2 linked regions of the Arabidopsis thaliana genome follow. The protein of the gene in region 1 interacts with the protein of each later gene in a pairwise test. Each region holds a gene or a part of one and is shown on either strand. Other genes may lie near its edges. The genes, in order: BNQ3 and AT1G09250.

Region 1 (3,889 bases):
GCTGACCACGCAATAGTACCGTATATTGATTAGTTAATCACAATTCACAAATATTATTATTTGGATATTTTTGGGTTACATTTTATAGTTTCTTTTAATCCTCGGATTTTTAATTACGGATTATAAAAAACCAAAACAATACCTTAAGTTAGTAGTTTGAAAGTACACATATACATATTTAATCACACAAGTTGAGACGACCAAAAAATTTAATTTAATCACATAGTTTGCAAGATGTGCTTGTTTTGATCTGTCAAAAGAGGAATTGTCTCTAATTTATTTCCAAAATTATGAACACTCATATACGGATGTAATGTACATGTATAACTTTTATTTATTGTTTCACCTTATCAAAAAAAAAAAAAAACAATTTTAATAATTGTTACACAAATGATTAAACATATTTTATCGGGTAATGATATACTAATGAGTCATGAGTCCATGTGATTTTTTATTTTGTTTTTTGATCTAAAGATTCATAACTTAAGTATTCTGGTGTAAACATAAAAAGAAAGCAATTTTTTTGAATAATACAAAAAAGAAATCGTTTATTTTCTTAAAACTGTAAATAAAATCAAATGAAAATGTAAAATAAAATAATAAAAAAATGTAAAACAATCCACATATGAAAAAAAAATCTATTACTAGATTAAATCTAATAACGATTTAAAAATAGACAATACGTGTTCGGAATTTGGAATCAAAGTCCAATTTTCTCTTCTAACTTCTTAATTAAAAAACAAACTTTTAGTTTACAATTTATTTAATGAATTAAATTAAAAATATATTTTTTCTCAATTGTTGGTGTAACCATAATTAACTAATGGAATTTTTTGGAGAAAATATTAATTACTTCAATAAAACGAATGTTATTTATTATCTAAATATAAAGATATTACATGATGGGAAGAGAGACGGGTTACCATATAGTTTGATACCTAGACAAATTTCTGTCTGTAGACTATAAAATTATTTATAGGAATCATTTCCATTGATTAGAAATTCTTGAGATATAGTGATAAAATTGTCAGATCTAAATGGATAAATAATCGAGCGCTTGATTGATTATTCCAAATTTGCAATATATTAATCAACTGATTGATGCCCATGGTATACAAATAAAAATGGAAGAAAGACCAAACTAAGGTACACTCAAAATGGAAAAGACTGATATTAGAATTGTTTAATTTCATCTCTAATAAAACTAAATCAACTTAATTATTTATGTTTGTCTGTACATGCTCAAATTAGTATATGTACTAGATCAAGTATGTAACTATATAAATAAATTAATCTTGCAATATAACTATAGAAGTTGATTAACATTTCCAGGAGTTAATCCTAATTTTACAGTTCTTGGATTAATTAAGATATCATACAAACTAATCATAATTTGTAGTCTAGTACCAAAGTTTGTATTATCACCAATTCCAGAATTTATGCAAGTTTGCCGATAAGTATGACAAACATGCATACATATTCTCTTTGTCTTATAAACCCAAAATGTTTTAGTATACTCTATTCGTGCCAAAAAAAAATATGAAAGAAGGTATCCTCCAACTATAATCAAACATCACCTTTTAAATGATTTACTAAAATGGCACAAGATCACTCTTGTTCTGAAGTTGGTTACTAGTGAAACATATATAGAAAAATGAAAACTGGATTAGCAAAAAAAATAATGTGGAATTAAAATGAATTTTAATCTTCTATTTTATAATGAATTGTAATTGGATAAATGGAAATGTTTTTCCTATATAAGTTTAAAAACATAACGAGACGAAAATTTTCTACCGTTAACAACAAAGATGTTCTTGCAAATAAGATAAGCGTTTTTTTATTGCACAAATATATCTATAAATTTTAGATAAAATATAAATTCTTACCCATTGAGATTTGCATAATACTATTCAGAGTGTTTTTTTTCCCTTTCGTTAAAGACTACTAGTCAGAGTGTTAATCTAGTAATTCACCAATTAATTTAACTATACTTAAAAATATTACAGTTTTTAGGAAACATGCTAGAAAAAACATATATAATTTTGCAATTATATTATTCCATGCATACACATGTAGAGCCAAAAACGGAGAAAAATCTTCTATATAAACACAAGTTGAAACCATTCATGTTTATTTTAAGCAGTTGCAGTAGACTCTTCCACTTCTGTATTCAATTCTTCCTTCTTTTTTCTCTTATAATATAAATAACATACAAAGAAAATACTTGCACTCACAAATATTGATTAAAGTTAATTAGTGAACCCTAAGATTTATAAATCTCTAGCTATACTCTACCATATCATATATATTACATAATGTCTAGCAGAAAATCACGTTCAAGACAAACTGGAGCTTCCATGATCACGGATGAACAAATCAACGATCTTGTCCTCCAGCTTCATCGGCTTCTCCCCGAACTTGCTAACAACAGACGCTCTGGAAAGGTACAACGTTCTAATCAATTTTTCATTATGATTCCTTTTAAAAAATTTAATTTCCTCTTTCAAACCTTAAATCTTTTCTAAACCTTTTTAAATCTTCCTTGGATTAGTAGTGGGTACTTAAAAGAACAAACCTCCGGTTTAAAAAAAATAAAAATAATAACTAATATATATCCTCCATCAAAGTTTAACAGTAATTCTTTCATCTTTCTGTTGTTGCAAACAAACGAGAGTCTTTAGTTAGAATTATAAATAAATATTAAACTAATATTCCATATATTCCAATATTGCATGTATGTATTGATTCATTTGATTGTGATGCATTTTGTGACGAGTGCTAAATTTTAATTTCCAAACTAATCGACAATAAATAGCATGCTGCATGCATGATAATTAAATTGTTAATTATATATAAGATCCTTCTTCTTATCAATATATTGGTTACTTTCAGGTTTCAGCATCAAGGGTATTACAAGAGACATGCAGTTACATAAGGAACTTGAGCAAAGAAGTGGATGATCTTAGTGAAAGATTGTCTCAACTTTTGGAATCAACTGATTCAGCTCAAGCTGCACTAATCCGAAGTTTGCTTATGCAGTAGAATTAGTGCAATAAACGAAGGATATTTTTTTCTTTTCTTTTTTTTGAAAAAATGTCTTCTCAGTTTTAATTCCCCTTCTTATTGTATTTATAATGTCTGGCAGCTTGTGTCCCCTGTTAATTATGCAATGTTTTATTTTTAATATATGTAGGGTTTTGTTTTTGTCAGTTGTTGAACGAAGCAAATGGTTTGGGTTTACGTTCACATTATTTAAGGCAACACACTCAATATATGGGCTTAGGTATTTCTTAGATTCTAGGCATTCCAACCAAATCCATCACATTTTAGTAGCAAAAACATTGATTAAATTTTGAATTTACGAGAAGAACAATGTTTTCTAGTGTCATGCATATACGATTATAACGGTGTTTTTGTAGTTAATATCGATAGGAACTAAACTAACGCAAGTCAAATTTTCTGATCAAAATTAGTCGTTAATTTCGCTTAATGGTATAAAGTATATTTTAAGAAGGAATAAAATATGCTAATAAGCCCCCACGGTTTCCATTTCTGGTAACAAGAATACCATTCAACGTCTCGATCAGCAGCAACGTTGAATCGTTGATATCTATATATAGAAGTATAGAACCAAGGGGTAATTTGGTCATTCCAGTTCTAACCCACTTCTATTACAAGAGCAGTTTACTACGTAAAAACGACCGGCCTTCCACTTTCCCGAAAACAGCCAGCGCCCGCACGTAGAGATTTACTGCATATTCAGTTTTCAGTAAATAAATAGTCCACAAAATTAGTGGCCTTGCGTGTAAAAAATTAAATTTCGAGATGCTGTTTAATAAATGTATTTATTGCAAATAAGAAATCAGATAGCCTTTAATAGTTGACAAAA
Region 2 (3,904 bases), on another chromosome or scaffold:
GTTTCTAATTAGAACTTTATTTTTTGGACATGGGAACATGTCAAATGCTACATTCAATCCAAAATATGTTACAACAACAAACATAAAAATTATAAAACGATTCATTTAAGAGTAATTTGAGACTCCAGTTTGAATTTGATGACATCAATAATGCATTATATATAGTTATTAGTGTGTTAGTATTTTCTTATGGCCTTAACTAAAATTAGTTAAATTGAAACACAAACATGAATTATTAATATATAGGTATTGCCGAAAAAAGTATGGTTGACCAATCCCAATGGATTCAACCTTACAAATCATAGGTGATCCACAAACATCTAACTAAAACCAAAATATTTAAGATATAACAAAAAAATCTTGCAAGTGTACTATTTTAACAGGACAAGTGTATCTTGTAATACGGAAGATTTCGAAAATTTGAACTCCCGATTTCAACATAACAAAATAACATCTGTCCTCGGGCCTATACAGGCCCAGTAAGTCTAACGATAAATGAGCCTTAATGGACTAGATTTAAAACTTTATAAAGGGGCCAAGGCGTTCACAAACCCAACAGTAGGTACAGAAGGCTCCTGGTAATAACTGAAAAGCAACGCAACCACATAGCAAAGACAAGTTACTTGATCCAAGAGAGCTGTTTCCTTTGTGTGATGTTGTTCGATTTTGACCTCAGTGTTTATGAATTCCTGAGTAAGATCTAGTCTTTAACTTCCCCACCTTGGATACTGTATTCACGAATGAGCATGTTTTTGTTCCTTGGGAGATTCCATAATTGGTCTGATGCATATAGACATGTGTTTTTTTTTTTTGGTGTCATATGTGCGCTGTGAATCTTGTGATATTTTAGAATCTAAAAAATATACACGCACAAGAAAAGCTTACGACCACATATATCAATGGGTTCCAGTTTAAAAATTTGGTGAGTATTATTAAGAGAGTCGGAGAAGAAATATTTGAGCGTGGTTAAAATATTAAGAAAAGGAAGAGACATGGAGACGATGTCTCAATTAAGGGGGCAAGCCTCTCTGGCCAATTACAGAGAAAAGGGCCCTTTTAGATTCTCTTCAAGATCTTCTTTTTTTTTTTCTTGTTTTTTTTGGTATAAATCACACATTTACTACAAAAATGCACTTATAATATTTAGTGTCAACTCATAATTGCTAAAACATTTCTCTCGTGTTTTCCATAGCAAGGTGCCAAAAACGAATTGATCAAGAAAAGTAAATGTTTTACATTAGTTACTATAGAATTTAGATCATGGTTTGTTTAAGATTTAGAACTTGGTGTAGGAACTAATAATTCCCTCGTGATATATGACAAATTGACAATGACATTCACCGTTACGAAGGATCGAATTTTGTCAAGAAAAAATATTTTCTAAACTATGGTATGAAGACAATATACATATACTACTCATTACTCTTGAATTTTATTTTTGTTTTTCCTTTGTAGACTACTCATTACTCTTTAGATTGAGATATCAATTAGAAACATACAAATCACACACAAAATAGTGGGAAACGGCAAAGGAGAGAATTTGTTGGCGGAAAATTGTCCACAACATTACAAATGAGTAAAGGTCACACAAAAGAGATCCTTTTTTCTCATATGGCAGCGCCATGAAAATGGTCACATGGAATGCTTTTTTGGTAAATTTTCTTTTCTCTTTTGCTTATTTCACTCTCTGAGTGCTTTTTTCCCTTTCTCTGCTTACCTTTAAAATAAAATAAAACCACATGAATTCTACCGCAACCACTTGAAACAAAAGATTCAACATCACCCTTTATTTCTCAACTTATCAAAAATATATATATCAATCGTCTATATTCTTTGACCTTTGGAGTTACAATGTATAAACATAGAAAATATATTTGCATCGCTCAGCATTTTGACTATTAAAGGGCATAATTTTGGAGCTTCATGCCAAGGCAAAAAGATAAAGAACAATCACATGAATGACAAAAGATTAAAAACAAAAGATTTTTAACTAATGAAAAAAAACACAAAAAACAAATACCGGTAAATAAGGGCAAAAGTGGAATTAAGTGTTATAGCTCCGCTGGCGATTGGCAGAGATATAAAAACTGATCTCTCTCCATTCATCTTCTCTTGTTTCTAACTAGTCACATTGAGAGAGAGAGAGAGAGAAAGAGAGACTCTCAGAATCTGAAGAAGAAGAAGAGATTGTTGTTTTTGCCTTTTATCATCGGTTTCTTTGAATCTCTGGTTTTAAATCGGATTTAATGGTGGAGTCTCTGTTCCCGAGCATCGAAAACACAGGTGAATCGTCTCGAAGAAAGAAGCCGAGGATATCAGAGACGGCGGAGGCGGAGATAGAGGCACGACGTGTCAACGAAGAAAGCTTGAAGAGATGGAAAACGAATCGTGTGCAACAGATCTACGCTTGTAAGCTCGTCGAAGCTTTACGCCGAGTTCGTCAGAGATCTTCCACCACCAGCAACAACGAGACCGATAAACTCGTCTCCGGCGCGGCGAGGGAGATACGTGATACGGCGGATCGAGTTCTAGCTGCGTCCGCTCGTGGTACGACTCGGTGGAGCAGAGCGATTTTAGCGAGTCGCGTCCGAGCGAAGCTGAAGAAACATAGAAAGGCGAAAAAGTCAACGGGAAATTGTAAATCGAGAAAAGGTCTCACGGAGACGAATCGGATTAAGTTACCGGCGGTTGAGAGAAAACTGAAGATTCTTGGCCGTTTGGTTCCTGGTTGCCGGAAAGTCTCTGTACCGAATCTTTTAGATGAAGCGACCGATTACATCGCAGCGTTAGAGATGCAGGTTCGAGCCATGGAGGCTCTCGCCGAACTTTTAACCGCAGCCGCACCACGGACGACGTTGACCGGAACTTAACGGCGGCAGTTAGTTTGTCAGTTGTTAATTAGCTTTTCTTTTACCTTTTTACCCCTTTATTTTGGCTTCAAGTGTTTTTTTTTTCTCGTCGACGCGATTTTAATTTATTAAATTCATGTATTTTATTTGTATACATCATCACTTCTTTTTTTTTGTATCCATTTTGATCTTTCTTTGTTTTTTCGTTAGATAATCAAAGTTATCTAAACAATAACAACAACAAAATGCCAACTAATGTCGATTCCAAAAATTGTTTAACGCTTTAAAAAAAAATTAGACCTACAAATTAAAGAAACTAAAAAGTAAGGAGAAGAACAAATAATTTGCAAGTTGAAGCAATTCAAAAATGAGCATGTGCGTGTAACGTGTTGAGGACACCCACCTTAATTTTGGGGCCAATGGACTCCATGTGATTCTCAAAGACTTTTTCCGACGTTGAAGTTTATGTCGAAAAGTGTATTTTTTGCTCAAAATGCCCTCAAAATCTTTCAAACTGATTAGAAAAAAACATTTACTTGAATGTCAACATTAATTATGATAACAAGGAGTAGCATACGACTCTTCAAGAGAACTGACATTATGAAAAATTGATGATTATGGTATAAAATACAAGTTAGTAAAAGTTAGTTGTCAGAAGAAATCCACTAGGAATAACATTGAAAGAAGTGGTGAGCAAAAAGGACCACAAAAATGGAACCAAAAGAAGAGGAAACAATAAGATTGAGAAATGAGTCTCTTGGAACATCTTTTTTCCCTCTTTAAGACTCCCCACGTGTGCTCTTTCTTTTAACACCCAATATGTCTTTCAAAAGCATTCACACCTTTTTGTTGTATATCAAATTAAATGGCAACATGTTTGTGGGTCATTGTGTCTTCCAAGTTATATAAGAAGATTTCTCACAAAATCCATCTTGATAAGTCCTTGGATCGAGCTTGGAGGATGTGCTATAGGTTTTAAATATATATATTTTAAGTACATGTTAGATGAAACTTAAAAAAAACTAATTTATGGTTGTATTTCAAAGATATTTGTC

Evidence for each region.
Region 2: the proteins of BNQ3 (region 1) and AT1G09250 interact in binary tests that used the Arabidopsis thaliana proteins (3 or more experiments, as listed by UniProt).

The regions. Positions count from the first base shown.
Region 1 is NC_003074.8:17,588,414-17,592,302, forward strand, and holds BNQ3 (BANQUO 3), read left to right. Parts: upstream 1-2,130; 5' UTR 2,131-2,315; coding exon 2,316-2,444; intron 2,445-2,892; coding exon 2,893-3,042; 3' UTR 3,043-3,257; downstream 3,258-3,889. UniProt on the Arabidopsis thaliana protein: Atypical and probable non DNA-binding bHLH transcription factor that integrates multiple signaling pathways to regulate cell elongation and plant development.
Region 2 is NC_003070.9:2,987,263-2,991,166, forward strand, and holds AT1G09250 (basic helix-loop-helix (bHLH) DNA-binding superfamily protein), read left to right. Parts: upstream 1-1,878; 5' UTR 1,879-2,246; coding exon 2,247-2,870; 3' UTR 2,871-3,165; downstream 3,166-3,904. Other genes in the region: AT1G09245 (Plant self-incompatibility protein S1 family), read right to left, coding at 1-105. UniProt on the Arabidopsis thaliana protein: Atypical bHLH transcription factor probably unable to bind DNA. Negatively regulates brassinosteroid signaling.